Saccharomyces cerevisiae S288C: one gene and its partners. Changing the gene in region 2 together with the main gene of any one other region gives a genetic interaction. Each region holds a gene or a part of one and is shown on either strand. Other genes may lie near its edges. The genes, in order: COG8, RGP1, CCW12 and INO4.

Region 1 (8,413 bases), on a different chromosome or scaffold from region 2:
TTTTCCTTTAGTTCTTCATAGAATGCTTCTGCCATACTCTTTTCCTCTACTGCCATTTGTACATCTTCTCCTTCAGCACCATCTTCTTTCTTTGGTACGACCTCGTTGCTTGACTCTTCCTTTTTGGTCATGTTTTCATCGACGTTTGTTTGAATAACACCAGGAATATAGAACCTCATCTCTACCAATTCGTCACCGGCTGGTTGGTACTCTTCATCTTGAATATTAAATTCTATTCCTACTTCATTTTTAGAGGTCAAATTTGTATTATTTATTCTAGCATAAGGAATTTCAAAAGTTGGTTTACCATTTAAAGCAAAAACCATTTCATTCCTGGCAAGGTCTGTCTTACCCCAGTTCCAACCACGTAAGGAATGTTCTCTTTGCTCTACCTGAATATTAAAACGGCGATGGAAATCATTCTTGATTAAGTTATAGTCATCCTGAGAAAATCCATCTAGTTGGATAACACCTTGATTTTTGGTATTTATCTTCAAGTCGTAACCCCTGCAGCCCCTACTCCATTGGACGGTAGATAATTCTGTGGCTGGTAATAAAAATGGTTTTCTTGCCTGATTTGCTGCAGAGCCACCACTGGTACTAATTTTCCACCCTAACCCAGAATCAGCAATACGGAATCTACCGCTAAATTTAGATTGGTTCAAGTAAATTCTATCAAAGTCGGTACTCATAATTCTTGTTCAACAATACTAGATTGTTCCTTCACTTGTTAACGGTATTTCCTTCTTGTTCTTACCACCGATTCAACATCTAGCTACTCTCATACTATGTATATCTCTGACACTCGCGTTAACATTTCACCAGTTTAACGATTCGTTTCGCGTTGAACCGGGTTATACAATCGTTCTTCGCGATGATAATAACAATAACTCCAAGAAAAGTAAGCTTTTTCTATATATATATATCATAAGTATCTTGATATGTATTCGTGAGCCAAGTACTTACAAGGCGCTTTGAACCCCCTTCAAAAACTCACATAGGCCTACTGCACCAGGATCTTCTACTTGAGATGAATCGCCGACATACGAAGCTCTGCCAAATTTGGCCTCGAATGTAGCAGTGGATTTAGCACCTTCCTCTGCAGCTTTTACCGCCTTATTGAAATCCTTAGATGCAGTAAATTCTTTAACGAATGGTTCTAAAGCATCAATCATGGTGGATGATCCCTTCCTTGCCTTTGTATATTTGTATAAAGTATCCAATGCAATTCCGAGTGACTTAGCCACAATTTCCTTAGTGACGGGTTCATCCTTTGATTTACAAACCTGAATTAATCCGTGTGAAAAACCCGACAAAAGAATAGAATATAAACCACCAGAAGTACCTCCCATTGAGCCTTCAATGAAATCTGAAATTTGGGCAACCGCCTGAGATAATGAGTCCTTCGACAGCTTGTCAAGGTTTTCGGTGATGCCTTTAACTCCTGCCACTAAAGTGTAACCACAATCACCATCACCAACTTGATTGTCTAGTTCCGTAATGTGCGGTTCGCTCTTGATAACTTGTTCAGCACCACTCTTCATCCACTCAGCAAACTTGTCAAAGTCATAGGTACCGACGGCCTTTGCTGTTACTTCATTATGTAACAAGTCATCGTTAACAGATGGGGCAGAAGTCTTTTCAAAATCTGCAATTGGCCAGCCCGGTGCGTTCGTAAATGCGTTCAACAAGTCTAGTACTGATTTGATCTCCTCAAAATCAGATTGCAAAGCCTTTGTAGCCTTAGTGGCGTTTAGTAATGTGATACTGAACCCATTACCATTGAAGGAGGTCATCAATGTGCCAGCAATTGTTTGAACCGGGGTTATGTTGTAATTTTCCTTTAAGAAATCCGTAGTTTTGGAAGTGATAGAACTAATAACAAAATTAGAAACACCGCCGAGATTGTTAACTAACAAGACAACTTCATCATCTTCATCAAACTTTACAAAAGCTCTATCCTTATCGTTTGGATCCAATAGTTTTGGTAGCATATACTTGGAGATCAAGTCTTCGGTAGAAGGAATAGGGTCTAAAACTTTCACACCAGGTTCGTTATGAATACCCATACCCAATTCCATTTGTTTTTCGTTTAATTCACTTTCGAATTTCCTGCCAGGAACTTTACAATGGTCTAAAGAAGATCCAATGGTCACCAAATTGTCGTTGATAATTTTAGCCACTTTAGCTGTACCGTCTAAGCCATACTTACTAGAATATTCTTCTGCGAAGGCACCTACAATCTTATGAACCAAAACGGTACCTGCCAATGCTCTTCTACCAACCATACCACCCTTTTCTCTGCCAACTGCAACATCATCACCTATGACAGCAACGCGGCAGTTAATACCCAAGGCTCTTGCTCTCTCAGCGGACAGACCAAAATGCAAAACATCACCTGTGTAGTTCTTCACAATCAATAAAACGCCAGACGCATTTTCATTGACTAAACGGATTGCATTTAAAATCTGTTTTGTTGAAGGGGATGCAAAAATTTCGCCAACCACGGCGCCACTCAACATACCCTTACCAATGAAACCGGCGTGTGTAGGTTCATGTCCACTACCACCACCAGAAATTAATGCGATCTTGTCGGAATCGGTCTTTCTGAAGAGAATTTTTTCTTCAGGGACCAGCGTAATGGAGGGGTTAGCAAGGGCAAACCCTTTGAGACTTGAATTGACTGGATCTGTGACTTCAAACGATTTAGCGGACATTTAAAATTTAGTCTTAGATATAGAATGTAATCTTATTCTTTGATGTGTTCGTTTACAGTTGCTACAAATAGTGACTACTTGTAGCGAAGTTGAAGTGATTTTCTCCTTATATATTTATTCATCAGTTAGTTCGACAGACGCTCGCGAGGTGGCCACTCTTTCAAAATGACGCAATTGGGAGTGGTTTGATCTTTCTCCCTTAGAAGCCAAATTGGCAAGCACTCACTCCGGGCCAGATTTACACCATGTTTGTAGCGCATTTAAATCAGGAAATGCATTATATTTCACTCTCTCGTCTAGCGAGTCTTAATGTTCATGACGGGGGAGCTTTATGCCTTGTTTTTTATCACAGCGCCAGACAATTGACAGTAACAAATAAAGGCAAAAAACCCTTGAATAGCACCAGAGGTGTTTACTGATTGCTTTTAAAGTACGTATAAAACTGTAAAATATAGATTAAATTCGACCGCCATTACTTTAGAGTTGAAATTGGGAAGCCGTATATTGCCATTTCAGCCATGCTTCTATGGTTCCTAATGGAAGCATGAATGACATACGCAATTTGATGAGCTTGAAAAGGGCGTAATTGACAAGCCAGATTTGAATCTAATCCCTTGAGAAATTATCTGCAAGTAGTAAAAAAATCTCTAAAAGATGTATAATTGAGTCGCCTAGAGACCTCATTCATCATGATATTTGACACCTTAATTTTGATAGTAGCGGGTCAGTCATTAAGAAGAAAGTGAGCTGGGGCTAATCATCAACGATCTCCCATAATTACGTACGTCAAAGACAACACGTTGGCAAAGGTAAGAAGAACGTAGTGCGTATCATGCTTACGGTGAATTTCACCCTTTTTTTCTGTTATTCGTGCTGATCCACGGGGTATTCAATTGAAGATATTATCTTTATCATCATATCGGTAAGCGTCTGGGAGAAGCAACTGGTCAAACGTTTTCAAAAACCATTCTTTAAACAACAAACCGATCAATGTTCTTGATCAGCTTATCAATCTATCCGATCTCCTGCGTTCAGCGTGACCGCCACACTTATGTCTAGATAATTTAACTTCCAGTTGCTAATTTCCCGCTAAAGTATCTTATGTTTACCATCACTGTAGCCGCCCTATCATATGCAACACTTCCATACTCATTTTCGGAATAAGAAGCAACTATCATCTAACGACTAGTATTTATATTACTGGTATATTACCATATTGGGTATAAGACGGTCAAATAAATATTGAGAAACAGTCACCAATTTTAATGGAAATTGAAATGAAAGGGTTGATAATGTGCTAGGAAAATGAACGAGAACATACAAAATGAAAGAAGAAATAATAATATTCCTACACAGAAATATCGGTTCTCTATTGTGGATTTTCATATTCTCGAGGAGAACCTCTAGTACATTTTGTGTATCTGGTATCACAGCGCTTGACAACTATAGAATTTAAACAATTATCTCATTCTTCATCCATCACTCAATCATATATATTAACCCCGGAAAAGTGCATTTTTGGTTTCTAATAACATTTGTATTAGTAATATTTGTTTACCCAACAATTCAAGAAATTTAGCTCGCGTGGCGTAATGGCAACGCGTCTGACTTCTAATCAGAAGATTATGGGTTCGACCCCCATCGTGAGTGCTTTGTTTCTTCTTTTTTGAATATGCTAATTCTAAATTTATAGGAAGAGTTGGATTTTCCTTTAGTTAGTTGTACTCTTGAAGTCCATTTTCTTTTTATACGTACATTAGATCGATCTCGCGATCATGGCTTCAATGTCTAAAAATATAGCGTAGTAACATACTGAAAAGAGAAGCACAGAAAAAATAATCATAGAAGTGTTAGGACATTTGAGGGAACATATTTCAACAATAAACATAATCATTGAGTAAAATGGAGCTGATACTAAACAGCCTCATTTCTGATGATTTAACAGAGGAACAAAAACGGTTAAGTCTTGATTTCCTACAGGATATCCTACAATCTAACACGAAAGACTATGAAAGTTATTTTTCATCTAGGGCTGTTCCTGGTAGCATAACTGAAGACATAGCAGAAATTGATGCTGAATTATCTGCCCTTGATAGAAAGATAAGGAAAACACTACTAGATAATACGTCTCAGATTATCGGAAATATTCTTGAAAACGATGATAGGGCTCAATTGGATGATATAGCCAAGTCTTTGGAGCAATTATGGGAATTGGATACTAATATTAATAAGGCAGCCGATCGAAACGTTACAAATGACGATATAAACAATGAAAGCGTTTCTATTGATGACTTTTTGGAAGACGATAAAGAAGACAACGACACAGGTCGCATCATGACGACTGAGAGTAACAATCTGGCAAGAAAGAAGAAGGAGGATGAGTTTCACAAGGCATTAAGTAGGTTAAGAAACAGAATTTCAACTAAAGAAGATGACAAGGACGACATTAGATCTGACACATTAGTCACTGTACTAGAAAATTTGGATAGCATTACGGATTTGATGGAACTACCATTTTTGGCCCGCACATGTATCAGAACAGGTCATTACCAGGAGGCCGTCATGCTATACACACACACTACTTCCCTGAGGTCAAGATTCCCTGGTTCAACCATTGTGGATGAAGTTTGCGAAAAAGTTTTAAACGAAATTAGTACTACCATGTTATCCGGGCTGGTAAAATTACTGTCTACTAATGTATCAGTAAACTCACTAAAGAAAATACTACAGTACTTGAATTCAATTCCACCATTTGATGGAAAGACTAATAAATCATTATTAAGTGTGTTTTTAGCCATGAGATACAAATTCATTACCGATGAAATAGCATCATATCCTTTGGACGTTGAGTCTTCTAATGAATCTTTAATTGAAATGATGGTTAAGAGGAAAATTGAAGTCCTCAGGGAACATGTCTACATGTCCTTGAATGTCTTTCTGAAAAGCTTCTTGTATGATACAAATGACTTAGAGATTCCTTTCCCAGAGGAACTAGAAAGTACTGTGCTAAGGATAAATGGGACTAACGAAGAGAAAGAAATTGAAGAAAAGGAGAAAGAAACAAAGAAGGAAGAATATCAAAAACAAGATAGCGTAGCGAACAATGAAGAAGATGTGACAGAAAATAAATCGATAGAAGATGTACAAGAGGAAGTACAAGGCAAAGTGGAAGGCGAAGATGATGGAGCAGAAAGGAAAACAGAAAATGAGATAGAAAATGAAACAGTAAACAAAACAGAAGACAAGGCTGAAAAAGAAAAAGAGGAAGAAGTAAATACCAAAGATAACAAGGCAGAAAAAGAGGAAGAAGAAATTAATAAGGTTGAGGTGACCCCAGAAGAGCCAAGCAAAAGCATAGATAACAAGGCAGAAAAAGAAGAAGAAGAAATTAATAAGGTTGAAGTGACCCCAGAGGAGCCAAGCAAAAAGATTCGGACTTCAAAAAGGGAAAACAAAATACCTACAAATGCAGTCATGTTGCAATTCGTTGATAAGTGCATAACATACGTATTAAAAGACCTCACTCGTGGGTTAAATAGCATCAAGCTGAGTGACTCCGTTTGCCTGCAGTTGGTGTACTGTTCATTCCGTCTTTGCGACCTGAATCGAAACTACCACCACCTCTTCCTAAAAAAAATCAATGACACTAGCTTGTTTACGACCGAGCAGCTCGCCCGGGCAATTGACAAGAGAGCAGAACTGGCCTCTAAATATATATACTCCTAGTATAATATTGGCTCACTATGTATTTTCAAAATGACGATCGTCCGAAATTTCCATTTTTTTATTTTTTTTTTTCACTTCTTCGCCAGCGCGAGAAGGGGGAGAAACAACAATACGAGAATGTATGTATACCTTTACAACACACTGCTGCAGTCAGAAAGGGAAAAAGGGATAATTGTACCTTACATCCTTTAGAATTGCACTTACCTTTTCCAATTGCGATACATTTCACTTTGATAGACAACTTTGCTTTTTAGCGTTACTTAATTTAATCAGTTTTCTTCTTAACAATATAAAGAGCATCATTAGCTAGCTTTGTTTATTGACATACGCAATATTGCTAGAAAGAAAATAAGTAGAGCTACGCATTGAAAGTCAAGAAAAATGACTGGCATCAAAGCTCAAGTCCATCCCCCACCTGATAGTACCCTATTTCATGAGGAGGAGAAGAAGAAAGTAGGAGGCAATTTACCTCAAAAGGTCATAAATCAACAAGAAAGGGGTTCTGATCACGCTCCATCGGGTCACCATCAATACCACCAACTGATTAACCATGACGCAAATGACACAAAGACCTCAAATTCAGTTTCTGATGTGTCTAAAGGTCAGAAAACTGCTGACTCCAACCCGGAAGGTAAGAAACAGTCATCAAAAGACATATTTGTTGCCTCCAGCGCTCAAAAAACCAATCAATTGCCCGGTCCCAACCCACAGGGAAGCATAGGAGCCGTGCCATTGGAAGGTTTACGTCCGAAGGAATTCAGATCAGCACCATCTAGGAAGCCAAATAAATTCGACACTTCGATTACTAAGCCTGGCGTCTTAGACGACTTAGGCAAACTTGATGAAAAGGATATTAAGGAAAAATTTCACCTAGATTCCGACGACAAGTTATTTCCATGGCAAAATGTTGGTGAGTTCCATGCTTCAGGAAAGGGTTCGCCAAATACAAAGATGTCCAGGGTTATAAAAGCTTACATTCTGGAAAATTTTTATAACGATTGGTACTGTAATATAGCCACCGTTCTTGGAACTTGTTTCTTCTCATGGTTATTTGCTTACATTGGGTTTTCATGGTGGTCTATGATATTTATCTTCTTGGGAACTGCGACCGTTTACAACGCAGAATATACAAGATTCAACAGAAATATCAGAGATGACTTGAAAAGAGTTACAGTCGAAGAAACCTTGTCGGATCGCGTTGAATCCACTACGTGGTTGAATTCATTTTTATCAAAATTTTGGGTGATTTACATGCCAGTTTTATCTCAACAAGTCAAAGATAACGTTAACCCTCAACTGGCAGGTGTTGCTCCAGGTTACGGTATCGATGCGTTAGCTATCGATGAATTCACTCTGGGCTCTAAAGCTCCCACCATAAAAGGTATTAAATCGTACACCAAGACTGGTAAAAACACTGTTGAAATGGATTGGTCATTTGCATTCACCCCAAGCGATGTCTCGGATATGACAGCTACTGAAGCTAGGGAGAAGATCAATCCAAAAATATCTCTGGGTGTCACGTTAGGAAAAAGTTTTGTCTCTAAAACAATGCCTATTTTGGTTGAAGACATTAACGTTGCTGGTAAAATGCGTATTAAAGTTGAATTTGGTAAAGCTTTCCCAAATATCAAAATTGTTTCTTTACAACTTTTAGAACCACCTTTGATTGATTTCGCACTGAAACCAATTGGTGGTGATACTTTAGGTCTTGATGTTATGTCATTCTTGCCTGGTTTGAAGAGTTTTGTTAAAAACATTATCAACTCCAATATAGGGCCTATGCTATTCCCTCCGAACCATTTGGATATTAATGTTGAAGACATTATGGCTGCTCAATCAAAAGAAGCTATTGGTGTCCTTGCCGTAACCATTGCTTCTGCCGACTCTTTGAAAGGCTCAGATTTCATTACCAATACTGTCGATCCTTATATTGTTATGACTACCGAAGATGCTGTGCCTGGTACAGATGA
Region 2 (9,032 bases):
TCTATTAAGAGGATAATTTATTTCATATCTTGGGTAGATGAACCATTAGAAATGTTCGAAGTAGCTGCATTGTTATCTTCTGTTTTTGGATTTTCTAGTTGAGCTGTTGTATTCTGTGGAGCAAACTCCCCGGCAACACCACTGTCAGGATCTTGCGAAGAAACTTCCGAGCTTTTTATTTTGGTATTCTCTTCTGATATTTCTCCCTTTGGTTGCGTCTGTTCGCTCTTCAACTCATCTCCTTCTGTTTGAGAAGCGCTGTTTATACGTTGCGACTTAATTTTTTGCTCTCTTTCAGGAAACGAAGCCTCTTCTTCCAGTGCCCTCTTCTTTCTTTCCTTTCCAATCTTGTACTCCCTAGCATCCTGAAGTTTTTTCCTGTGCTCTTGATTGATTTTGTACAAAAGTTTCTCTTTGAAACTATCATCCAACGCTTCCACTTTTCTGGGTTCCTCGAACAAACCATCAACACCAGTCTTTTCGTTAACTTTATCAAAATCGAACAAGTATCGCGATCTTAGAAACCGTAAAGTTTGCCATTGTCTGATTATTTCATCTTTCGCTTCTCCACCGGAAGTTTCAGAAGAAATTTTTGATTCCCATTTCGCTTGGGCTGCTTCATAGACACCTTCAGGCTTCTTTACTTCTTGCTCAATTTTATCTAGACCAGTAGGTATTTTCCAAACATTATTAATCAATTTATTCCCCATCTTGATGAACGTAAACTTTTTAAAAGTTTCGTCAAAAGCGGGTGGCGGTATCTTCTCCTTAGATATTCTGAAGTTTTGGAATTCTTTAAAGCCATCGATCTTGGCGGTTGTAAACTTTTCGTCAGAAGACATTAATTTGCGGATAACACGATAAAAGTCAGGGTCTTTAATTTTATAAAATTTCAAAACACGATTGTCGCAAATGTATGAACATAAATTGAGCCCACGCTTTTTGTTAACTTCATCAAGGTTCTCAAAATCAATATCGCTCAACGGGTTTTCCCTCAAATAGCAGCTTTTATAGAAATTCCTCGTTTCATCAGAAGAAATTAAATTGCGTATAAGATTTGTTGTGAAACATAGTTGTAAAATGAACTGTTTGCGGTAGTAATCATCGTCCTCTTGAGTCAATTGTTTATAAAGGCAGGTCGTATTGCTCAAAGAGATATCCATAATGGTAGGTCGAAGAGTGTAGTCATCTGATTCTTTAATATTCTGTAGATTCGCCCAAAATTCATTCCTGTCCATTTTCATTGCGTTTGAATGCTTCATATACACGGGTAATTTAGGGGTCATAACATCGTAATTCGCGTAATACTCAGTGTTCAGAGCTTCCTCTAAGGAATATCTAGTCCTATTGTTCATCTTGATTTTGCTGTAAAAGTTCTCTTCGATTTCCAAGATTGCATCAAGAAGGGGACTTAATGATCTGTCCACATCATTTTTATATTCTAAATCGCTAAAAGCAAATTCGATCGGGCAAATAATTAGATGATAAAACACGAAGTTATAATCTGCAGCAAATATAACGTCGGAACTGCGGTTGCTTTCTCGTTCACGTGCTGATCTGTTCCATTCGTTATCAGATTCTTGTAAAGCTGAAATAGAAGCGGATCTATTGAAGTTCGATTCTTCATTTATAGGTAGTAGCTCGGATAAAAAGTTCTCTAGTTTGTATTTCATATTATAATGTTTGACGGTATTAAGGATGTCATTATTCTCTAATTTAGCTAAAATATCGTTCCAGTGGCGCAGCTTTTCGTATAAAGGCTGTTTGTAACTAATCAAATTGCTCTCCCCCAATGATACTGGCTCAACAGATGTATTCATTTTGAACCATTCGATACGTGATTCAGCATAGGGCCAAAACTTCAAAAACGTAGATGGTGAGTTTAGCAAATCAATGATGGTGGAAAATAACTCGAAAAAGGTATTTCCCCAGCTAGCTGGATTAGATCTATTAAATCTTGAGTTATACACAAAATCGAGACCTATACACGAATTTAGTAACCCTTTTTCAAGATTATTTTCTTCTTCGTCTTCAATAGCATTTGTCATTGAATCTATAATGAATCTTTTAAGTATAATGTCAATCAAAGAATCTCTATCATGAATTGCCGAAATATTTTTTTCGAGCGGTTCCCATTCAAAATTGAGAACACTTGCATGCAACATTGAAGATGGAAGTGGTTCATGTCGAATGGAGTCAAACGAAACTGGGAGTGCTTTAAAAGTTTTCTGGAGAAAACCTATTGAGTTTTGGATCAATTCCTCGGTATTAGACATTATTACTCCTTTGCCCAAGTTTTAATGCCTCTTGAATTGTTAAAATCATCTATTAATTTACTGATCAAGCTATGGCAAAAACCTGATCATTCTAACGAAAAATGTCATTAGAGAAGCAATATGCATCGTGCGAAATGAGCAGTCTTGAAATCGCACGGACAGCAACCCATGACATCAAGAGATGACTATTACGACAATAAAGCCGGTTAACTAACTTATAAATGTATCTGTACATACCCTTTATGAAGAGAGTATAGTAAATCCTCTTTACTGGATTGGATTCAAATGCAAAACCAATTATACGAGTAAACTGCACCCATTTATTGCTTACCATCCCATGAAATCTTCGGATGTACACAGTATTGGAATGGGAACGTAACATGTAAACTCTTCACCTTCTAAATTCTCTTTTGAATGGAATAGGATGCCCTTTTTATCCTCATAAAATTGATCCAAAGTGATACTTTCTGTCTTTGCAATTATTACAAATTTTAGTCCTATCATCCACTTATGTTGAAAAACATCTGTCTTGAATTGTCCGGTAATCTGGTTTGTAGGCGATCTTGGAGGAAGTAATTTCACCGATACGGACTTGCACTCATCGAAACAAATAAAATGTTTCTCATACACCGAGTTTCCTTTTGGTTTGCTCCCTATTCCTTTTCCTTCAGTCTTATATTTTGGATTTATAATTTCAAACGATTCTAAGGATACAGTCAACGAAGTCACTTTAAGTAAAGGCGTCGTTATCGGATCTAATTCAATGACTAAATTTATATCATCAGTTGTCTTATAAAAAGGTGCTGATAAGGATACTTTTGCCATAGTCTCATTATTTCTGTTAATTTGATATGCGTTCTGTAAATTAATTAGCTGAGGTAGAAGATTAGAATTCTCATCTGACTTAACGAGAGAACAATCGTTCCACATCTTTTGCTCGAGGTTAGAAATGTTATCGCGTACCGAATAACTTTTTCTCCTCTTAGTTACAGCATCGCTTCTCAGGCTAGACTCTGCAGACGTCACCATTTCGTTCGAAAAGTGTGAGTCGTTGGGTTCAGGATCCGAAGAATCCTCATCCTTTCCGAACTGTACCCCCATTTGCAAGTCAATAAGTTCGTCTATATCTCTTGACACATTTTGGTTAGATTCCACCAGTTCAATGAAGTTTTTTTTGACACGCTTGACAAATTCATTATCTTCTAATGGAGAATCAATGTCAATTATAGAAGATTTTCTCCTACCAAATGATACAGCAGAAGCCGTAGAAACTTTTCGAGTAAACAAACGTGGCTTTAGTTCCTTTATGTTACCTGTCTTTAATATGATAGCAGGCTTATCCAGACGTGATGTGTACTGTTCGGCATTCGAACTAATATATGGTGCTATTGTTATTGGGACTCTATTTGAAAATTTCTCGATATTATCATCAGAAAGTACATCCGCACCAACCTCCAGCGTGTAATTTATTGATGCCACTTTTGACGATGAATAACTTGGGCATATATCTTTTGGCAGCTTTGTGGATTTAAAATAGAATGTTCTTACTTCACCTGGTTCTAAAGAAATTTCAGAAAATAAAAGCGTCTGTGGTATTAAAAGAAGAGGTAATGTTTTTATACTGGTATCGTTTGATATCATTAAGGTCCGTTCGTTATAGGTACCTGTTCTTCCCCTAGAACCGCTTTCTGAGAAAAGAAGACCATTGGTCACATTTGTATAATCTGAGTTGAGGTAGTTGGTTAAATTTCTTTTACCTTTGAAATGTTCTCCATCTTCCAATGCAAGAACAGAATTTGTCGTATGTCCAGGTACAATATCTAGTCCTACCATTTTTACTTCATCTTGTTTAAATTTTGACTCTGAAATTACCTCTGAATCGTATTGAAAGACCCCCGATATTTGAACATAACCGGATATTAACGTTACAGGTTGATGAAAATACATTTGCTTCTGTATTTTTTCTCTTAACATCTTACTCTCATTTAGCATTTTCATGTTATCCACATCCACACTCTCTTCAGGTTCGCCTGTTCTTTTGAAGGCACCTAGTAATGATTTTAGGGACCAGGTTTGATTTTCCATCGTGCCTTCACCATCATCTTGCACTTTCGCTTGTTGTTCCAACTTCTCTTCAACAGCTTTATCGACAGTGAGAAGCTTTTCTTTATAGTTGAACAATTCATGCTGTGAGCCTAGGTGCTTAAATCGGAAAGCAATTGATATATGTTCTCCACCAAAATAGGAATTCGATTCATGTATGATCTCCAGTTTGATGTTTTCTCTTATGAGAAATGTATCGATTCTGTGCGCACGCATATCTTCTTCTAAAGTATGAAAAATATCACAATCAAAATCAACAGCTCAAGAAATTATGGGCTAGCTTTCGCTGTTTGTTTCGACTGGCAGCCTTTGCATTGCCCCGTAGGTATCAAAGCTTCTTTGAAGCTGAATTGATCTTGAAAAATAGCACTTTGGAGACGCGCCTTACGCTTTATAGGAGACTTCGGAGTAGACTTCGATTAAAAAATAAAAATTACACAAGAAGTTCAAGTATTATGTTTAATATTCAAACAACGTTTCCACCTCATGGAGAAATGAAGACTTTTATCGTTCTCCGTGAGGTGGATTTACTGTTATTGTCGTTAGAGTTCATGAATGTTTCTCTTGCGCGAGCAGATCTACTGGTCAGGAATCTACATTACTTTGCAATCCATAGTACGCTTGTTATGCTGCATCAATACGAATATATATATCTAATGCTAACATCTGGTTTCTGTAGATATCTTGGCGTGTGTTTCTTTATGATAATACAAAAATATGTAACTCCTGGTGTGATGCTTGGGCGGTGGAAGGTTACGGCTTAGTAATTACGAAATTGATGAAAAAAGTTAGCAGCTGCTATAAAAGGTGCGATAACCTCTTGTGATCATCTGCTATGTGGAAGCTGGTTTACAACCTACAATTTTTCAATTAACAGTTTGAGAATAAATTAGGGGTATCGTACTACCGTAAAGAACAAGAAAATGGCTGGTAATCTTGTTTCATGGGCCTGCAAGCTCTGTAGATCTCCTGAAGGGTTTGGACCTATATCCTTTTACGGTGACTTTACTCAATGCTTCATCGACGGTGTGATCCTAAATCTATCAGCAATTTTCATGATAACCTTCGGTATCAGAGATTTAGTTAACCTTTGCAAGAAAAAACACTCTGGCATCAAATATAGGCGGAATTGGATTATTGTCTCTAGGATGGCACTAGTTCTGTTGGAGATAGCGTTTGTTTCACTTGCGTCTTTAAATATTTCTAAAGAAGAAGCGGAAAACTTTACCATTGTAAGTCAATATGCTTCTACAATGTTATCTTTATTTGTTGCTTTAGCCTTACACTGGATAGAATACGATAGATCAGTTGTAGCCAATACGGTACTTTTATTCTATTGGCTTTTTGAAACATTCGGTAATTTTGCTAAACTAATAAATATTCTAATTAGACACACCTACGAAGGCATTTGGTATTCCGGACAAACGGGTTTCATACTAACGTTATTCCAAGTAATAACATGTGCCAGTATCCTGTTACTTGAAGCTCTTCCAAAGAAGCCGCTAATGCCACATCAACACATACATCAAACTTTAACAAGAAGAAAACCAAATCCATACGATAGCGCAAACATATTTTCCAGGATTACCTTCTCTTGGATGTCAGGTTTGATGAAAACTGGCTATGAAAAATACTTAGTGGAAGCAGATTTATATAAATTACCGAGGAACTTTAGTAGTGAAGAACTCTCTCAAAAATTGGAGAAAAACTGGGAAAATGAGTTGAAGCAAAAATCAAATCCTTCATTATCATGGGCTATATGCAGAACTTTTGGATCTAAAATGCTTTTAGCCGCATTCTTTAAAGCAATTCATGATGTTCTAGCATTTACTCAACCACAACTACTAAGGATTTTAATCAAGTTCGTCACAGACTATAACAGTGAGAGACAGGATGACCATTCTTCTCTTCAAGGGTTTGAAAATAACCACCCACAAAAATTACCCATTGTAAGAGGGTTTTTGATTGCGTTTGCTATGTTTCTGGTGGGCTTTACTCAGACATCTGTCCTGCATCAATATTTCCTGAATGTCTTCAACACAGGCATGTATATTAAGAGCGCCCTAACGGCTTTAATATATCAAAAATCCTTAGTGCTATCTAATGAGGCTTCTGGACTTTCCTCTACCGGTGACATTGTCAATCTCATGAGTGTGGATGTTCAAAAATTACAAGATTTAACACAATGGCTAAATTTAATATGGTCAGGGCCTTTTCAAATCATTATTTGCTTATATTCTCTGTATAAGTTGTTGGGAAATTCCATGTGGGTTGGCGTGATTATACTAGTTATTATGATGCCATTGAACTCATTTTTGATGAGGATACAAAAGAAGTTGCAAAAATCCCAGATGAAGTACAAAGATGAAAGGACCCGTGTTATAAGTGAAATACTAAACAATATTAAATCTTTGAAGTTATATGCATGGGAGAAGCCTTATAGGGAAAAGCTAGAAGAAGTAAGAAATAACAAAGAGTTAAAAAATCTTACAAAACTAGGATGTTATATGGCTGTGACAAGTTTTCAGTTCAATATAGTACCATTCCTTGTTTCATGTTGTACCTTTGCTGTATTTGTTTATACTGAGGATAGAGCATTGACTACTGACTTAGTTTTCCCTGCTTTGACTCTGTTCAACCTGCTCTCATTCCCACTAATGATTATTCCTATGGTTTTAAATTCTTTTATCGAAGCTTCTGTTTCTATTGGTAGATTATTTACATTCTTTACCAATGAAGAGCTACAACCAGATTCGGTTCAGCGTTTACCAAAAGTAAAAAATATTGGCGATGTAGCCATTAACATTGGAGATGATGCTACCTTTTTATGGCAACGGAAACCGGAATACAAAGTAGCCTTAAAGAATATTAATTTCCAAGCTAAAAAAGGAAATTTGACCTGTATTGTTGGTAAAGTTGGCAGTGGTAAAACAGCTCTATTGTCATGCATGTTAGGTGATCTATTCAGGGTTAAAGGTTTCGCCACCGTTCATGGTTCTGTTGCTTATGTTTCACAAGTTCCATGGATAATGAATGGTACTGTAAAGGAAAACATTTTATTTGGGCATAGATACGACGCGGAATTTTACGAAAAAACGATCAAGGCCTGTGCGTTAACTATTGATCTTGCAATTTTGATGGATGGAGATAAGACATTAGTTGGCGAGAAAGGGATCTCCTTATCTGGAGGACAAAAAGCTCGTTTGTCTTTAGCAAGAGCAGTTTATGCGAGAGCTGACACTTATTTACTTGATGATCCTTTGGCAGCTGTTGATGAACACGTTGCCAGGCACTTGATCGAACATGTGTTGGGTCCAAATGGTTTATTACATACAAAAACGAAGGTATTAGCCACTAATAAGGTGAGCGCGTTATCCATCGCAGATTCTATTGCATTATTAGATAATGGAGAAATCACACAGCAGGGTACATATGATGAGATTACGAAGGACGCTGATTCGCCATTATGGAAATTGCTCAACAACTATGGTAAAAAAAATAACGGTAAGTCGAATGAATTCGGTGACTCCTCTGAAAGCTCAGTTCGAGAAAGTAGTATACCTGTAGAAGGAGAGCTGGAACAACTGCAGAAATTAAATGATTTGGATTTTGGCAACTCTGACGCCATAAGTTTAAGGAGGGCCAGTGATGCAACTTTGGGAAGCATCGATTTTGGTGACGATGAAAATATTGCTAAAAGAGAGCATCGTGAACAGGGAAAAGTAAAGTGGAACATTTACCTAGAGTACGCTAAAGCTTGCAACCCGAAAAGCGTTTGTGTATTCATATTGTTTATTGTTATATCGATGTTCCTCTCTGTTATGGGTAACGTTTGGTTGAAACATTGGTCTGAAGTTAATAGCCGCTATGGATCTAATCCAAATGCCGCGCGTTACTTGGCCATTTATTTTGCACTTGGTATTGGTTCAGCACTGGCAACATTAATCCAGACAATCGTTCTCTGGGTTTTTTGTACCATTCATGCCTCCAAATATTTACACAACTTGATGACAAACTCTGTGTTGAGAGCCCCAATGACGTTTTTTGAAACAACACCAATCGGTAGAATTCTAAACAGATTCTCAAATGACATATACAAAGTGGATGCTTTATTAGGAAGAACATTTTCTCAGTTTTTCGTCAATGCAGTGAAAGTCACATTCACTATTACGGTTATCTGTGCGACGACATGGCAATTTATCTTCATTATCATTCCACTAAGTGTGTTTTACATCTACTACCAGCAGTATTACCTGAGAACATCAAGGGAGTTGCGTCGTTTAGACTCTATTACTAGGTCTCCAATCTACTCTCATTTCCAAGAGACTTTGGGTGGCCTTGCAACGGTTAGAGGTTATTCTCAACAGAAAAGGTTTTCCCACATTAATCAATGCCGCATTGATAATAACATGAGTGCGTTCTATCCCTCTATCAATGCTAACCGTTGGCTAGCATATAGGTTGGAACTTATTGGTTCAATTATCATTCTAGGTGCTGCAACTTTATCCGTTTTTAGACTAAAACAAGGCACATTAACGGCAGGTATGGTGGGTTTATCATTAAGCTATGCTTTACAAATCACTCAAACGTTAAATTGGATTGTTAGAATGACTGTGGAAGTTGAAACGAATATTGTTTCAGTGGAAAGAATAA
Region 3 (7,421 bases), on a different chromosome or scaffold from region 2:
CTCAGTTCCATTGAGACAACTGCTTACCGCTAAAGATTGGTTTCCGGTATGAAGTGATGTTAACCTTTCAATGGTTACACCCTTCTTGGAGACGCTATCAAGAGCTATGCAAACTTCTTGACAATTAGTTAAGGGATTATATATAATTTTTGCCCGCACTAATTCCTGCTCCAACCTGTTGAGACGGTAATAACGACACTCTTTTATCAGAGATGCGGTTCTTTCCTCAGACAGTTCTAATTTGGAACCGCCCAGTAAAGATAATATATCTCGGAAAAATTCTGGGGACCTTGCAATATATGAGGGTGGTAATAAAGGTGGAAAGCCCGGCTTCTTATTTGACTCCCACTTCTCAATTTCCTCATAAGATATGCGAGAAATCGTTTCAAAATAGTTCAACCGGTTCCCTTCTTCATGGAATAATGATTTTGGTACCTTAAAGGGAACACCTCCAATATTAGTGAAGTGGTAGTCGTATTCTTTTATGAGTTTAACTAACTTGGGTAACTGAAAATATAATGCGTCCGCGAAAAGACAGGTAAATTGTACTTCGTTCTTAATATCGGGAAAATAACCTTGTAAATGTCTGTATATTATGATGAACACGTCTTCCGATCTATCAACAAATAGAATCGTATTTTTATCGTGCGTATTGAAGAATTGGGTGAAAAAATTGGGCGCATCCGAATTCAATGTAGCACCTGAGATCTCAAATAGCTTTTGGCCAATCCTAATCTTGAAAACTTCATGGTTTGGTAAAAGCTCGGGGGTAGTTTCTAACTCTTTTGTATAAACCACGATCTCGCCCTTTTGGCCAGACATCTGATATGAGCGTGCGTGTGAGTGACTTTACACTTGTCTATCCACGTCCTGAAGTTGTTCGTGTTCTTTGGATATTCGTGTTCAAGCTAATAATGAGCCTTTAAGGTAATACAATTTATAAACCACCACCTTGGCCTCGATCTATTGCGCTTATGTTGTCTATTAGTAATCAAGAAAAGAACCCTAAATCATCGGCGTCCCCTGTGGGGCTCTCGGAAAAACCGGTCCTGACGTCACTGAAAAGATTTCGGCACATGGTCATGGGACCAGAGAAAAATTAATCCGACATGTGGAATATTTCCTTCCGTTAAGGTAGTGAGCGCGGATTTTTTCTGATTTGTAATTATACGGGGAGCTCTGGCCAAAAAGGTCAGTATTTGGTGATGAAGTTGAATATCATCTTTTGATTTTCTTCTGTATCATTCTTTTTCTTTTTCCACACCCCTTCCGGACGGTATTCACATATTGTTGAGAGGTTAAATGAAAAATAAAGGGGTGGAAAATTAAGGACGAGATGTAAGGGAAAAGCATAAACGAAACATTATATAAAGGAGCACAATTTCCTCTCCCTTGCCAATTGTGCATATACCGTTTCTTTATAACGAAATTTCAACAAACCAGAACAACACAAGTACTACCAATAACCACAACAAAACATGTCTGACTTAGTTAACAAGAAATTCCCAGCTGGCGACTACAAATTCCAATACATTGCTATCAGCCAAAGTGATGCTGACAGTGAATCTTGTAAGATGCCACAAACAGTTGAATGGTCCAAATTAATTTCTGAAAACAAGAAGGTTATCATTACCGGTGCTCCAGCTGCTTTCTCCCCAACCTGTACTGTCAGCCATATTCCAGGTTACATCAACTACTTGGATGAATTAGTTAAGGAAAAGGAAGTTGACCAAGTGATCGTTGTTACTGTTGACAACCCGTTCGCTAACCAAGCGTGGGCTAAGAGTTTAGGTGTTAAGGACACCACACACATCAAGTTTGCCTCCGACCCAGGCTGTGCTTTCACCAAATCCATTGGTTTCGAATTAGCCGTCGGTGACGGTGTTTACTGGAGTGGTAGATGGGCCATGGTTGTTGAAAACGGTATCGTTACTTACGCTGCCAAGGAAACCAACCCAGGTACCGATGTGACCGTTTCCTCAGTCGAAAGTGTCTTGGCTCATTTGTAGATGCTATGTAATAGACAATAAAACCATGTTTATATAAAAAAAATTCAAAATAGAAAACGATTCTGTACAAGGAGTATTTTTTTTTTGTTCTAGTGTGTTTATATTATCCTTGGCTAAGAGGCACTGCGTATACTTCAAGGTACCCCTGTGTTTTGAAAAAAAACAACAGTAAAATAGGAACTCCGCGAGGTTCAGGAACCTGAAACAAAATCAATAAAAACATTATATGCGTTTCGAACAAAATTAAAGAAAAAGAATAAATATAGATTAAAAAAAAAAAGAAGAAATTAAAAGAATTTCTACTAAATCCCAATTGTTATATATTTGTTAAATGCCAAAAAAGTTTATAAAAAATTTAGAATGTATAAATAATAATAAACTAAGTTTACAACAACAAAGCAGCGGCACCAGCCAACAAAGCACCAGCAGCTGGCAAAGCCTTAGCAGCAGCACCAGTGTAAGAGGTGACAGAGTGAGTTGGAGCAGCAGAGGTGGTGTTCTTTGGAGCTTCAGTAGAGGTAACTGGAGCAGCAGTAGAAGTACCGTTCTTTGGGGCTTCAGTGGTCAATGGGCACCAGGTGGTGTATTGAGTGATAACGTCATCGACGGTGACGGTAGCGGTGGAAACCAAAGCTGGGGAGACAGTTTCAGAACAGACGTGGTCTTCACAAGAAGTGATGGTGACCAAAGTGGTAGATTCTTGGCTGACAGTAGCAGTGGTAACGTTAGCAGCGGCAGAAGCGACAGCGGCGACAGCGGCGATAGAAGCGACAGTAGAAAATTGCATTATTGATATAGTGTTTAAGCGAATGACAGAAGATTAATTTCTTGGTATGTTAGGAAAGAATAAAGGAGAATAAGAATAATTAGAACAATGTAGGATGGAAAGAAAGATTATCAAGCATGCCGACTTTATATACTTGAACGGAGGCAAAGGATGCAAAATTTTCTCACATTTCTTTCTGCCGTTATGTTGGAAGTAAGACTCCCATTATCGCAATACTGCAACACGAATATGCAAAATTTGCTGAGTTATCGCAGATAGTTGTTGCAAAGATAGCGGCGTAGGTGGCCGCGAAATGGGGAATTCCAAAACAAACGGTTTTTTTACTCCTGAGAAATACTTGTACGGGATAATCCAGGGCCTACCACCCACGCTTCGAGGATTGGCTTTTATTTTTTTTTTTTTGGTGGCGTTTTATTTCTTTCCCGCTTTCTGGGACTTGTGCGGAGTTTTGAGAGGGGCGCGCGGCAAAGGATTCCCAAAACGGAAATCAGACGCCAATAGCCAGCACTCAAAGCAGTTCTGGACCCATTCCGATTTTCCCATTTGGTTCTTGCGCGTGCTGATTCCGACACGCGCGTCTATAAATAGCATGAAGTATCCGCACACCGCAGCGTTAGTGAGGTGAGGGTGGCAGCAAGCTAATTCCCGCATCTGGAATCTGAACTGCCCCTTTTGGACTAACCGTGTGGTTCATGGGTGGGCGAAGTGCGCAACCTCGAAGGTTTTCTTTTGCGTGTCGGATTTTACATCCGGCGGTAGCGCATGATGCCATGGCTGGCTCCAGATACATCCTCAGGGCACCAGCATCTATAATTAGATTGGCGCAACATGGCTGGCTGCACTGCTGTCTTCACTTCTTTCTTTTTCCGGCAATGAATGATGTATGTTTTGTGGCAAAAGGGTCCGCATTGTACCTGTTTACAGTTGAGATTATCGTTTTTGGTAGCCCTTCATTACGGCATAACGTATTAAGTTTCTTTTATTTTGCTTTGCCCTGGTTTAAAAGACAATGTCGATTAAAAGTTAATTTTAATCGATTGAAGGAAATAAGAGGAATAGCGCAAGTTGTTAGGAAAGCGTTCTTTATCTCCAAGACTTTGCCCTGTATATAATTAAACACCTCAAAGCGCTTCGTCATGGATGGAGATTATTCGGCATTTTGACATACAGGAGTGCCACATGCGAAAGCGGAGTGGGCGTATTCTCTGGTTACCCTACATGGTCTGGCGGCGTTATTATACGGGAGGATCTTCGAAGGGAAGGAAGGAAAAAAAAAAAGAAAAGGCCAACGAAAAGCAAATATTATCTATCGTCGAAATTATCATACTATCTTACAATAAGAGTAGTAATTACTTTCTTGTTTGTATAGTGGAAGAGGAATTTGCGATAATAATAGCAAAAGTAACTAATCTCTAACAAGAAACCTTATTTATTTTCTCTTTCTTCTATATTGGTAAATACTAGACTCGAAAAAAAGGAACAAAGGGAAAACAGGGAAAACTACAACTATCGTATATAATAATGACCACTAACGAGGAATTCATTAGGACACAGATATTCGGTACAGTTTTCGAGATCACAAATAGATACAATGATTTAAACCCCGTTGGGATGGGGGCATTTGGGTTGGTTTGCTCAGCCACGGACACTTTGACATCTCAGCCAGTTGCCATTAAGAAAATCATGAAACCTTTTTCCACTGCAGTGCTGGCCAAAAGGACATATCGTGAACTAAAACTACTAAAACATCTAAGACACGAGAACTTGATTTGCCTTCAGGACATATTTCTTTCTCCATTGGAAGATATATATTTTGTCACGGAATTACAAGGAACAGATTTACATAGACTCTTGCAAACAAGACCCTTGGAAAAGCAATTTGTTCAGTATTTCCTATACCAAATTCTAAGGGGTTTAAAATACGTTCACTCCGCGGGCGTCATTCATAGAGATTTGAAACCGAGCAACATTCTGATTAATGAAAACTGTGATTTGAAGATTTGCGATTTCGGTCTAGCAAGAATTCAAGACCCTCAAATGACAGGCTATGTTTCCACTAGATACTACAGGGCACCTGAAATCATGCTAACGTGGCAAAAATATGACGTCGAGGTCGACATTTGGTCCGCTGGTTGTATTTTTGCCGAAATGATTGAAGGTAAGCCTTTGTTCCCTGGGAAAGATCATGTTCACCAATTTTCGATCATCACTGACTTGTTGGGATCTCCGCCAAAGGATGTGATAAATACTATTTGTTCCGAAAATACTCTAAAATTTGTTACTTCGTTACCACACAGAGATCCAATTCCATTTTCTGAAAGATTTAAAACAGTCGAACCTGATGCCGTAGACCTTTTGGAAAAAATGCTGGTTTTTGATCCTAAGAAGAGAATCACTGCGGCGGATGCCTTGGCTCATCCTTATTCGGCTCCTTACCACGATCCAACGGATGAACCAGTAGCCGATGCCAAGTTCGATTGGCACTTTAATGACGCTGATCTGCCTGTCGATACCTGGCGTGTTATGATGTACTCAGAAATCCTAGACTTCCATAAGATTGGTGGCAGTGATGGACAGATTGATATATCTGCCACGTTTGATGACCAAGTTGCTGCAGCCACCGCTGCCGCGGCGCAGGCACAGGCTCAGGCTCAGGCTCAAGTTCAGTTAAACATGGCTGCGCATTCGCATAATGGCGCTGGCACTACTGGAAATGATCACTCAGATATAGCTGGTGGAAACAAAGTCAGCGATCATGTAGCTGCAAATGACACCATTACGGACTACGGTAACCAGGCCATACAGTACGCTAATGAGTTCCAACAGTAAACGTGTTTTTTTAATGTCCCTAACCACTCATTCTTACTTCTTTTTGATGTTTCTTTTTTTTATGGTACTCATAAAAGTATTTACGTATATAGTTGTATAGAGGAAACAAAAAAAAAAAGATAAAACTCAATTACAAAGTAAAGTGGACGTATTTCGATCATGATTTTTTTCTGTTTTAACCGCATTGGATTTTCTTGTAAAACTGGAAGAAAAAGGAAACTAAAAAGTCAAGAAAGACCTTTTTAAGACTCCAAGAACCGTCACTTATGGCGTATTGTTTGTTTATCAGCACTTCTATCTTCGATAAAGGTTTGTCTGTCTTATATTGTTTACATTTCAAGTCTAATTCTGTGCTTTTACCGAAGAGGAATTTTCATAAATACGGAGAAAATATAAAAAAAAAGTAAATACAGAAAATAGAACAGTTGAAGCAGAAAAAGAGAACTTGCTAAATAGCTGTCTCACCCAGACAAGCGTATACTTACCACATTTAGTCTTTTGCAATCTCATTCTTGTTGAAGATAACTATTACATTCACGGACTGTGGCAGAAACTTCTCCTTAAGAAATTAGGAACTCATAAAAGGAATCAGCAGCTCTATGTAATATCAAAATCTTTTCTATTTTTTGTATTTATGCTCTCATTCATTAATTCTAACGGAGCTATTTATTATAAACAGTGAAGATATAAACCATATGTCTAATAGAACAAATTTCAAAAAGTCTTCAATTTCGTGGATGTGGGAATGCATTTATTAAAAATAATGAATGGCAACATACGACACCAAAATAGGAACACTTTCAGTACTATACAGAACTACGGATCTTAGTTTATTGAGTTTTGAGAAATAGGTTGATATGGAGACAATTTCTTAGCGTTATTAGAGGTTATAAGTATACAGAATAACCTACGAGTAGTCCTCAAGAAGATAAGACTCTGCAAAAGGTATCAATAATTTTACTTAATCATAGCACTATTTCTTCTTTCGCTTTGTACAGCAGCTCATATATTCCATTACATTATCAATTCTTACATCGTAGCATAAAACACTAAGATTCAAAAATAGAAAACTGTTGTATCTCAAAATGAGATACGTCAGTATGACAATACGTCATCCTAAACGTTCATAAAACACATATGAAACAACCTTATAACAAAACGAACAACATGAGACAAAACCCGTCCTTCCCTAGCTGAACTACCCAAAAGTATAAATGCCTGAACAATTAGTTTAGATCCGAGATTCCGCGCTTCCACCACTTAGTATGATTCATATTTTATATAATATATAAGATAAGTAACATCCGTGAGTTAATCTGATAAACCGTTTTGACAACTGGTAACTTCCCTAAGACTGTTTATATTAGGATTGTCAAGACACTCCGGTATTACTCGAGCCCGTAATAAAACAAAAACAATAAATCTTGTTCCTCGTGGCCCAATGGTCACGGCGTCTGGCTACGAACCAGAAGATTCCAGGTTCAAGTCCTGGCGGGGAAGATTTTTTTGCTCCGACAATTATGTCGCTACCCTTCAGTTTTGTTGAAAATGATGCTTTTATCGTTAACTTTACTTATCTTTATTGTTTGCAAGATTACTATTAATATTAAAGAGGGTCTAGCAAGGATACTGCGATTGTTTCTAAATATTTCAACTTTCTACGTTATTCATCTTTAGGAAGCTAAAAAGCATTCAAAAGATTACTATGAAGTTAATCTTTAAACATAGTTTGATGAGCGTCTATGCAAATAGAATAACTTCAAAAAATTTTCTATTCCATTTTTGGAAAGCCCCAA
Region 4 (7,158 bases), on a different chromosome or scaffold from region 2:
GACAACGACAATTAGACGCAAATGTTGGCGTTTATGATAGACTGAAAAGTGACTGTCGCGAGGGTGCCGTATCTGGTAAAGATATGGAAGCTATAGAACGGGATCTTTATCGAACGTTTCCCGATAATATACATTTCCATAAGGAGTCCTTCCAAAATGGAGAGCCGGCGATCATCCGATCATTGCGTCGAGTATTAATGGCCTTTTCTGTTTATGACAAGACTATTGGATACTGCCAATCGATGAATTTTCTCGTTGGATTGCTATTATTGTTCATGGAAGAAGAGAAAGCATTTTGGATGCTGGTTATTATTACCGGTAAGTATTTACCTGGCGTGTATGAATCAGACTTAGAGGGTGCGAACGTGGATCAAGGGGTGTTGGTGTTATGTATCAAGGAATATTTACCCGAGATATGGTCACACATTGAGTCATCGTATATGAATGGCAATGGCAGCACTGACCAGATATCAGGGCCAGCATCGGGGGAAGAATATCTCTGCAGGCTGCCTACGCTGACGCTGTGTACGGCAAGTTGGTTTATGAGCTGTTTTGTGGGCGTGGTGCCCATCGAAACGACCCTGAGAATATGGGACTGTTTATTCTATGAAGAGTCTCATTTTTTATTTAAAGTGGCTTTGGGGATACTGAAATTGAGCGAAAGCGAGTTTTTGGAGAGTAAAAGCCAGAAACTGTTTAGACAGTACTCTTCGTACACCTTCGGTGGTAGTAATGACTCTGATTCAACTTTCAAAAGATTAAAGAACAAGATTAAGACGCAGGAAGAGGCAGATATGGAGATTTTGCAAGTGATTCAAAATTTCCCAAAAAGATTGCTCAATCCGAATGATATCTTTGAGAAAGTCCTGATGAAGAAGAAGGTTGCGTTGAATGGTATTACCCAGGAAAAGATTGATCGCGGTAGAGAGTATGTGGCGATGGCGAGAAATAGACAAAGGGCGAGTAGCCGCCCAAAGGAAAGAAGAAAATAGTAAGCGCAACCGTGATAAAAAGCGCAACTGTGTAAAATAACAAGTATGTACGTACTAACTATACTAATCTTATTTGGCCAGAGACCAGCCTTTTTGTAGACGCTCCATGACTTGCCTAACCGCAGCCTGATCGTTCTCGAAATTGTTCTTCAGAAGAGCCTCGATATCATCCCAGGGCACAGTGAGTTCCTGTGGAGGAGCAGGAGCAGGGGAGTTAGTGGATTTCTCGGCTTCGGGTTCCTTAGATATAGTCGGATTCGGCTTAATCATGACTGTGATTGTGGAATTGGCAGGCGTGACCTTCAAATCCGATAAGAACAGGTTATCGTGGAGGACTTTGCCCTTCAAAAGCAGTTTTATCTCGCTTATGTGGGAGGCCTTTTCCTCGCTGATCAAGTGCTGTTTTATTTGTAAGATAGTATCTGATGGGCTGAAATCATGCTCGATGGAGAACTTGGGAGCTTGAATTTTCTTTAAGGTTAAGTGGACGGCGGCGTTGTCTTGACCTTGCTGATCTTGGTGCAGTTTTAACTTCTTGGCACGATTCTGCTTATATTTATACTTCAAAGTAGGCAACGGGACACCCAAATTGGTAACATCCTTCAGAGGTTTAGTATAGCTTTTTGGTAGCTTCGGTTCAGTTAAAGTGGCTAAGGTCAAGAATTTACTAACGAACTCGTGTTCTGGACCGCTGGCGGATGTGCTCATGATTAATTTTGTATAAAGTTATTATTCTTCGCTAGTTTATCTCTGTATCGGTCTGTTCTAACCCTTTTCTCCAACTATGTTCTCCTGTGCATGTTTTCTTCTTTTCGTTTTTCCTTTGTTTTTTTTGGTCGTAGTTGTCGCAAGCTCGGCCTCCGGCCTGATTTTAAAACTATTCCTAATTCAAGATTCGGTAAAAAAGATATATAATAGCTAAGGGGAGGAGAGGAATAAGAGGAAAAAGTTACATTAGAGGACAATACTCAATCTAACCCTTACTAGATGTGCGATAGCCATCAAAAGGAAGAAGATAACGCAAATACGAGCGAAAGGGCGTTATTTTTTAATTACCATGAGTTTTCGTATTCATTCTACGAAGACCTCGGTTCCGAAGACGCTAAACCCACAGAGCACGACGAAGACCACAAATTGTGTATTACACATTTCCCGAATGTGTATGCTGCTCGGGGCTCTGCCGAGTTCCAGGTGACCCGGGTGGTACGAGTGCCCCGGCGGTTCGATGAGTCTCGCAGCAGCCTTGAAACGCCACAATTTAGTACACAGCTTCCCGGTAGCGAGCCGGCGGCAATCGTGGGCGACGATGGCACTAGCTTTGTGCGGTGCGGGCGTTACGACATTGGGGATCACGTGTTTGGCTGCTCCTCCGTCTCGCCTCTGTCAGAATATCTTAGTGCGGCAGAGCTCGCGGAGGTTGTGCACCGGGTAAACGGATTCTTGCTGCGTGAAGAAGGTGAGGTGTTCGGGTGGCGTAACTTAAGTGGCCTGTTGCTCGATATGCTTACGGGCGGTCTGTGGAGCTGGGTTTTGGGGCCCCTTCTTTCTAGACCTGTGTTTCAGGAGTCTCTCGCGTTAGAGCAGTACGTGGCGCAGCTAAACTCGCCGGGAGGTCTGCTTCACGAGCGCGGTGTGCGCCTAGTATTGCCCCGACGGTCCGGGTGCCTATCCCTAGATTTCGTCGTGCCCCGACCCAAATAGTTAAACGTGTGGTTTATGGGTGCACCAGGGCTTTATCGTGTTTTATATCGATGGCGATTTGTGCCTCCAGTGTATTTTTGTATATCCAATTAAGGTTTCTTACCTAATTTTATTTTTATCATCTTTAGTTAATGCTGGTTTGCTCTGTTTCTGCTGCTTTCTGTGCGGTTCTCCTCTTCTCTTGTTTCTTCGTGTTGTCCCCCATCGCCGATGGGCTTATATGGCGTATATATATAGAGCGAGTTTTTACGTCGAAGATCATCTCAGTTTGCTTGATAGCCTTTCTACTTTATTACTTTCGTTTTTAACCTCATTATACTTTAGTTTTCTTTGATCGGTTTTTTTCTCTGTATACTTAAAAGTTCAAATCAAAGAAACATACAAAACTACGTTTATATCAATTAATAATGTCTGAAATTCAAAACAAAGCTGAAACTGCCGCCCAAGATGTCCAACAAAAGTTGGAAGAAACCAAAGAATCTTTGCAAAACAAGGGCCAAGAAGTAAAGGAACAAGCTGAAGCTTCTATCGACAACCTAAAAAATGAAGCTACTCCAGAAGCTGAACAGGTGAAGAAGGAAGAACAAAACATTGCTGATGGTGTCGAACAAAAGAAGACCGAAGCTGCCAACAAAGTTGAAGAAACTAAGAAGCAAGCTTCCGCCGCCGTCAGTGAGAAGAAGGAAACCAAGAAGGAAGGCGGTTTCTTGAAGAAATTGAACCGTAAAATTGCTTCCATTTTCAACTAATCACACTTGAATGTGCTGCACTTTACTAGAAGTTTCTTTTTCTTTTTTTAAAAATAAAAAAAGAGGAGAAAAATGCTGTTTATTCTGACCTTTTACATAAATTTTTCTTAATTGTATCTATCTAATAACTAATCAATATAATAATAATAATACTAATAATAATAATAATAATAATAATAATAGTAGTAGTAGTAGTAGTAGTAATAATGATGATGATGATGATGATGGATGATCAAAAGCCACAAAAAAGAATGCTCCGAGAATAACCTCGGCGGTTATTTCACGTCCCGGAGGAAAAAAAGTTTGATAAGAAAGTAAAAATATGAGCGGTACGAGAATCGAACCCGTGTCCCCACCTTGGAAGGGTGGGATGATAACCACTACACTAACCGCCCGGGTTAATTGTTATTAGTTGGTGAAACTGATCTCAATCACTATAACATTATGGTCTCTTAATAGCAAAGGCCAACCAACTGACTTCTTGCAAACTGATGTTCAATTTTAGCTCTAAAATAAAACAATGTAAAAGAAAGATAAAATGACATAAAGCACTATCGCTTCAACGGCAAACAATATTGAAAAAGTATCACATTATAGTAAGTTGAACACTAAAAGATTAAATAAATACTTCGGCACACTTTCGATGAAGGAAAGCATTAGTAGTAACGTATATATATCATTGTTGTTGCTACTTTTCTTTGTGGGATATGCACCACTCCCCTCTGCAAAGTGAAGAAAAGGTATGGGAAGAATTTCTTCGCTTATATTACTTACTTTACCCTACTCCTTGAATCACTGACCACTCTGTCCATCACCCAGCTCCCAAATTAACTCCTTCGGTACTAAATCCCGAATGTTTCCATTTTGTTCTTGTACGGGATCGCTGCTGCTGCTGCTGCCGGTTTTTGCCTCATGCTTAGCTATGATTTGTTTTCTCAGCTTTTCATTCCTTTCATACAACCAACTTAAGTAACTCAAGCTTTTCAGGTATATGATTAGTTCTGACCGACTTTCCTGGGGTTGCAGGTCAGGTACTACTGCTACCAGTTCGTCAAATATAGCTCTTTCCAATTCTCTCCTTTTTTTTTCAGACGAAACATGATTTATACGTATTTGACCATCAGTCAATTTATTAATCTTCTTAGACCTGCGTTTCCTTTTCTTCACATTAGCCAGTTCACCCTTTATCTCCTTAATCTCGGACAATCCCGGCTGTATTGTTTGTATCTCCTTAATATCGTTCGTCATTATTGCTTTTCTCTTTTTAGTTCAAGCCGCCCTCTTAACTCCTTCGTCAAGCTTATCTTGTTGGCATTGGAATTTCGCAAACGCAATCGCGCCTCTGTCTTTAAGGTGAGAAAAACATGTGAATATTTTGTTTGATACGTAACAAGCTCATACAAACCAAGCCAAGAAAAAGAAGACGACTAATCTATTTATAACAAAGATATTTGTTCACTATAATGCAATATAGTTCGAGGTTCCTAGAATTGAATATCCCGGATTCATTTTTAAATATCAATAAGATTCCTGATGCTACTAAATTTATTACAGTCACTTATATATGCTTAACTGCAACCCTTTTCTGTATAAGGAGATCCTTGTACAACAAGCTAGTTCTTGAAGACCCTAACTTGGACTACAACTTGATTACTTCGCCGCTTTTGCAAATGGTACCTTCGCAGATTTGGAGGTACCCCACCTCATTAGTTCTATCCAACTTCATCGACACTAAAGCTTGGAAGGTGGTAGTGAACTTATTGAATTTGATCATTGGTGGATCCTTCATTGAACGCAATTGGAACTCTTCCAAAGAAATGTTCAAATTTATCATAGTTTTAGGTTCTCTTACAAACGTTCTGATCATCATGCTGACTTTGTTAGTATCTTTTTTCTCTAATAAGGTAAGGCTGGATATTCCCTTAGACGGGAACTACACAATTTTAATCGGTTTCCCTATCATTTATAGACAGTTATTGCCTGAAACAACTATAATCCATCTGAAGACACCTCAATTTTTGGCCAAAAACTTTAGGTTCAAATTACTACCCATTTTTGTAATGTTTACAATGACGGTAACCCAAATAATATGGTTTCATCATTTTGCTCAATTGTTCTCCATTTGGGTTACCTTTTTTGCCAGTTGGTCGTACTTGAGGTTTTTCCAGAAACTTGCACCCTTGAATTGTCCCTCTTTGCCAACAACTAATTCTCAAGGTGGTCAGGAAATATTGGTCGGCGATGCATCTGATACTTTTCAATTGATTTACTTCTTTCCTGATCTAATTAAGCCGATTTTGAGGCCGATTTTCAATTTCATTTATAATGTAGTTGTTGTAAAATTTAAAGTCATTAAACCTTTTCATGATATTGATATAGATATTGGGAACACCATCGCAGAAAGTAGAGGCGCCAAAAAAATTATGACTGTAGAAGAAAGACGAAGACAGTTAGCTTTACAAGTTTTGGAAGAGCGTATGGTAAACCCTTGATATATGGATCTATATAACTTGAAATATGCTCTATTATATCGTGATTTAATGACGGCTGTTGGCATTTCGGTCTTTACCAAGGTAGTAGGATTTGTATGCTGAATGTGCGCCAGTACTATCGAACCATAGAAACCCATATATTCCCCAATATTAATAATTCTACTGAGAAATGGGTGAATTTTGAAATAATTGTTGGGATTCCATCGTTGATAAAGGCTATAATATTAGGTATACAGAATGTACTAGAAGTTCTCCTCGATGATATAGGAATCCCCATAATGGAATCTATATTTCTATGTACCAATATTACGATTATTCCTCATTCCATTTCATATGTTTCATTATCCTATTACATTATCGATCCTTGCATTTCAGCTTCCTCTAACTTCGGTGACAGCTTCTATAATAACTTATGTCACTATCTAACACCGTATATGATAATATATTGATAGTATGACTACTAGTTGATAGACGATAGTTGGTTTTTATTCCAACATCTACATAGTGGCACTCACTACGCTGCTAAATTTGATCATTTGGTGAATAATTTGATAATTAGTAGTTCTTCTCCGGGATATAGGAATCAACAAAAGGAAAACGATAGTTTTACATAATAATATTAATTTATCTTGCTTGGTTCGCCTTTGAAGAGCGCAGCTTTCAGAGATTTAGCTTCTATGGCCAAGTTGGTAAGGCGCCACACTAGTAATGTGGAGATCATCGGTTCAAATCCGATTGGAAGCATTTTTTTTTAATATTTTAAAATTGTTTATATTTTTGTACCACAAACATCATTAGAAGCTGCAAATGAAGTGAATCAGAAAATTTAAAAATGAAACTAAATACTAAATATTATTGTTCTTTTTCTAACAGTTGAAGTGCCAAAAGCAGTAAATTGTTTAAATATTAGGGTATAAAACATGATATTATAAAGTTAATGATTTAGAATGGCTCCGTCCAGCAGAACCAGTTGATTACCATTAATGTTGAGAGTTTATGCGAGTTTTTCAGGCTCGATTATGAGATACGGTACTAGATAATTCAGGATTATCAGGATTATCAGGGTTTACCACTTGCAATGGTCCGCTCATCATCATGTCGGGTAAAGAATTGGCACTGAACCTTTCATTTGCACTATTCAAAGTATTTGCCTCTTCAAAAACTGTCGATGGAAGGTTCTGTTTCTGAACCGTAGCATCTTGTAAGCCAGCCAAGTTGTTTATG

The links.
Region 1: mutations in RGP1 (region 2) and COG8 together harm fitness more than expected from each alone (negative genetic interaction), as found in Saccharomyces cerevisiae (5 studies listed by BioGRID).
Region 3: mutations in RGP1 (region 2) and CCW12 together harm fitness more than expected from each alone (negative genetic interaction), as found in Saccharomyces cerevisiae (4 studies listed by BioGRID, with this or other methods).
Region 4: mutations in RGP1 (region 2) and INO4 together harm fitness more than expected from each alone (negative genetic interaction), as found in Saccharomyces cerevisiae (4 studies listed by BioGRID).

What each region holds. Positions count from the first base shown.
Region 1 is NC_001145.3:127,779-136,191, reverse strand, and holds COG8 (Golgi transport complex subunit COG8), read left to right. Parts: upstream 1-4,619; coding exon 4,620-6,443; downstream 6,444-8,413. Other genes in the region: FACT complex subunit POB3, read right to left, coding at 1-692; DAK1 (dihydroxyacetone kinase), read right to left, coding at 963-2,717; TCB3 (Tcb3p), read left to right, coding at 6,825-8,413. UniProt on the Saccharomyces cerevisiae protein: Acts as a component of the peripheral membrane COG complex that is involved in intra-Golgi protein trafficking.
Region 2 is NC_001136.10:723,822-732,853, reverse strand, and holds RGP1 (Rgp1p), read right to left. Parts: upstream 4,596-9,032; coding exon 2,604-4,595; downstream 1-2,603. Other genes in the region: HPR1 (Hpr1p), read right to left, coding at 18-2,276; ATP-binding cassette glutathione S-conjugate transporter YCF1, read left to right, coding at 5,303-9,032. UniProt on the Saccharomyces cerevisiae protein: The RIC1-RGP1 complex acts as a guanine nucleotide exchange factor (GEF), which activates YPT6 by exchanging bound GDP for free GTP. It is thereby required for efficient fusion of endosome-derived vesicles with the Golgi.
Region 3 is NC_001144.5:367,303-374,723, forward strand, and holds CCW12 (Ccw12p), read right to left. Parts: upstream 2,797-7,421; coding exon 2,395-2,796; downstream 1-2,394. Other genes in the region: YLR108C (uncharacterized protein), read right to left, coding at 1-822; thioredoxin peroxidase AHP1, read left to right, coding at 1,479-2,009; YLR111W (uncharacterized protein), read left to right, coding at 3,089-3,421; YLR112W (uncharacterized protein), read left to right, coding at 3,489-3,908; mitogen-activated protein kinase HOG1, read left to right, coding at 4,318-5,625. UniProt on the Saccharomyces cerevisiae protein: Component of the cell wall. May play a role in the formation of a tightly packed outer mannan layer, which protects the inner glucan.
Region 4 is NC_001147.6:107,197-114,354, forward strand, and holds INO4 (Ino4p), read right to left. Parts: upstream 4,691-7,158; coding exon 4,235-4,690; downstream 1-4,234. Other genes in the region: Rab GTPase-activating protein MSB4, read left to right, coding at 1-992; MDY2 (Mdy2p), read right to left, coding at 1,062-1,700; SHR5 (Shr5p), read left to right, coding at 1,980-2,693; ZEO1 (Zeo1p), read left to right, coding at 3,101-3,442; YOL107W (uncharacterized protein), read left to right, coding at 4,906-5,934; WSC3 (Wsc3p), read right to left, coding at 6,942-7,158. UniProt on the Saccharomyces cerevisiae protein: Transcriptional activator of phospholipid synthetic genes (such as INO1, CHO1/PSS, CHO2/PEM1, OPI3/PEM2, etc.).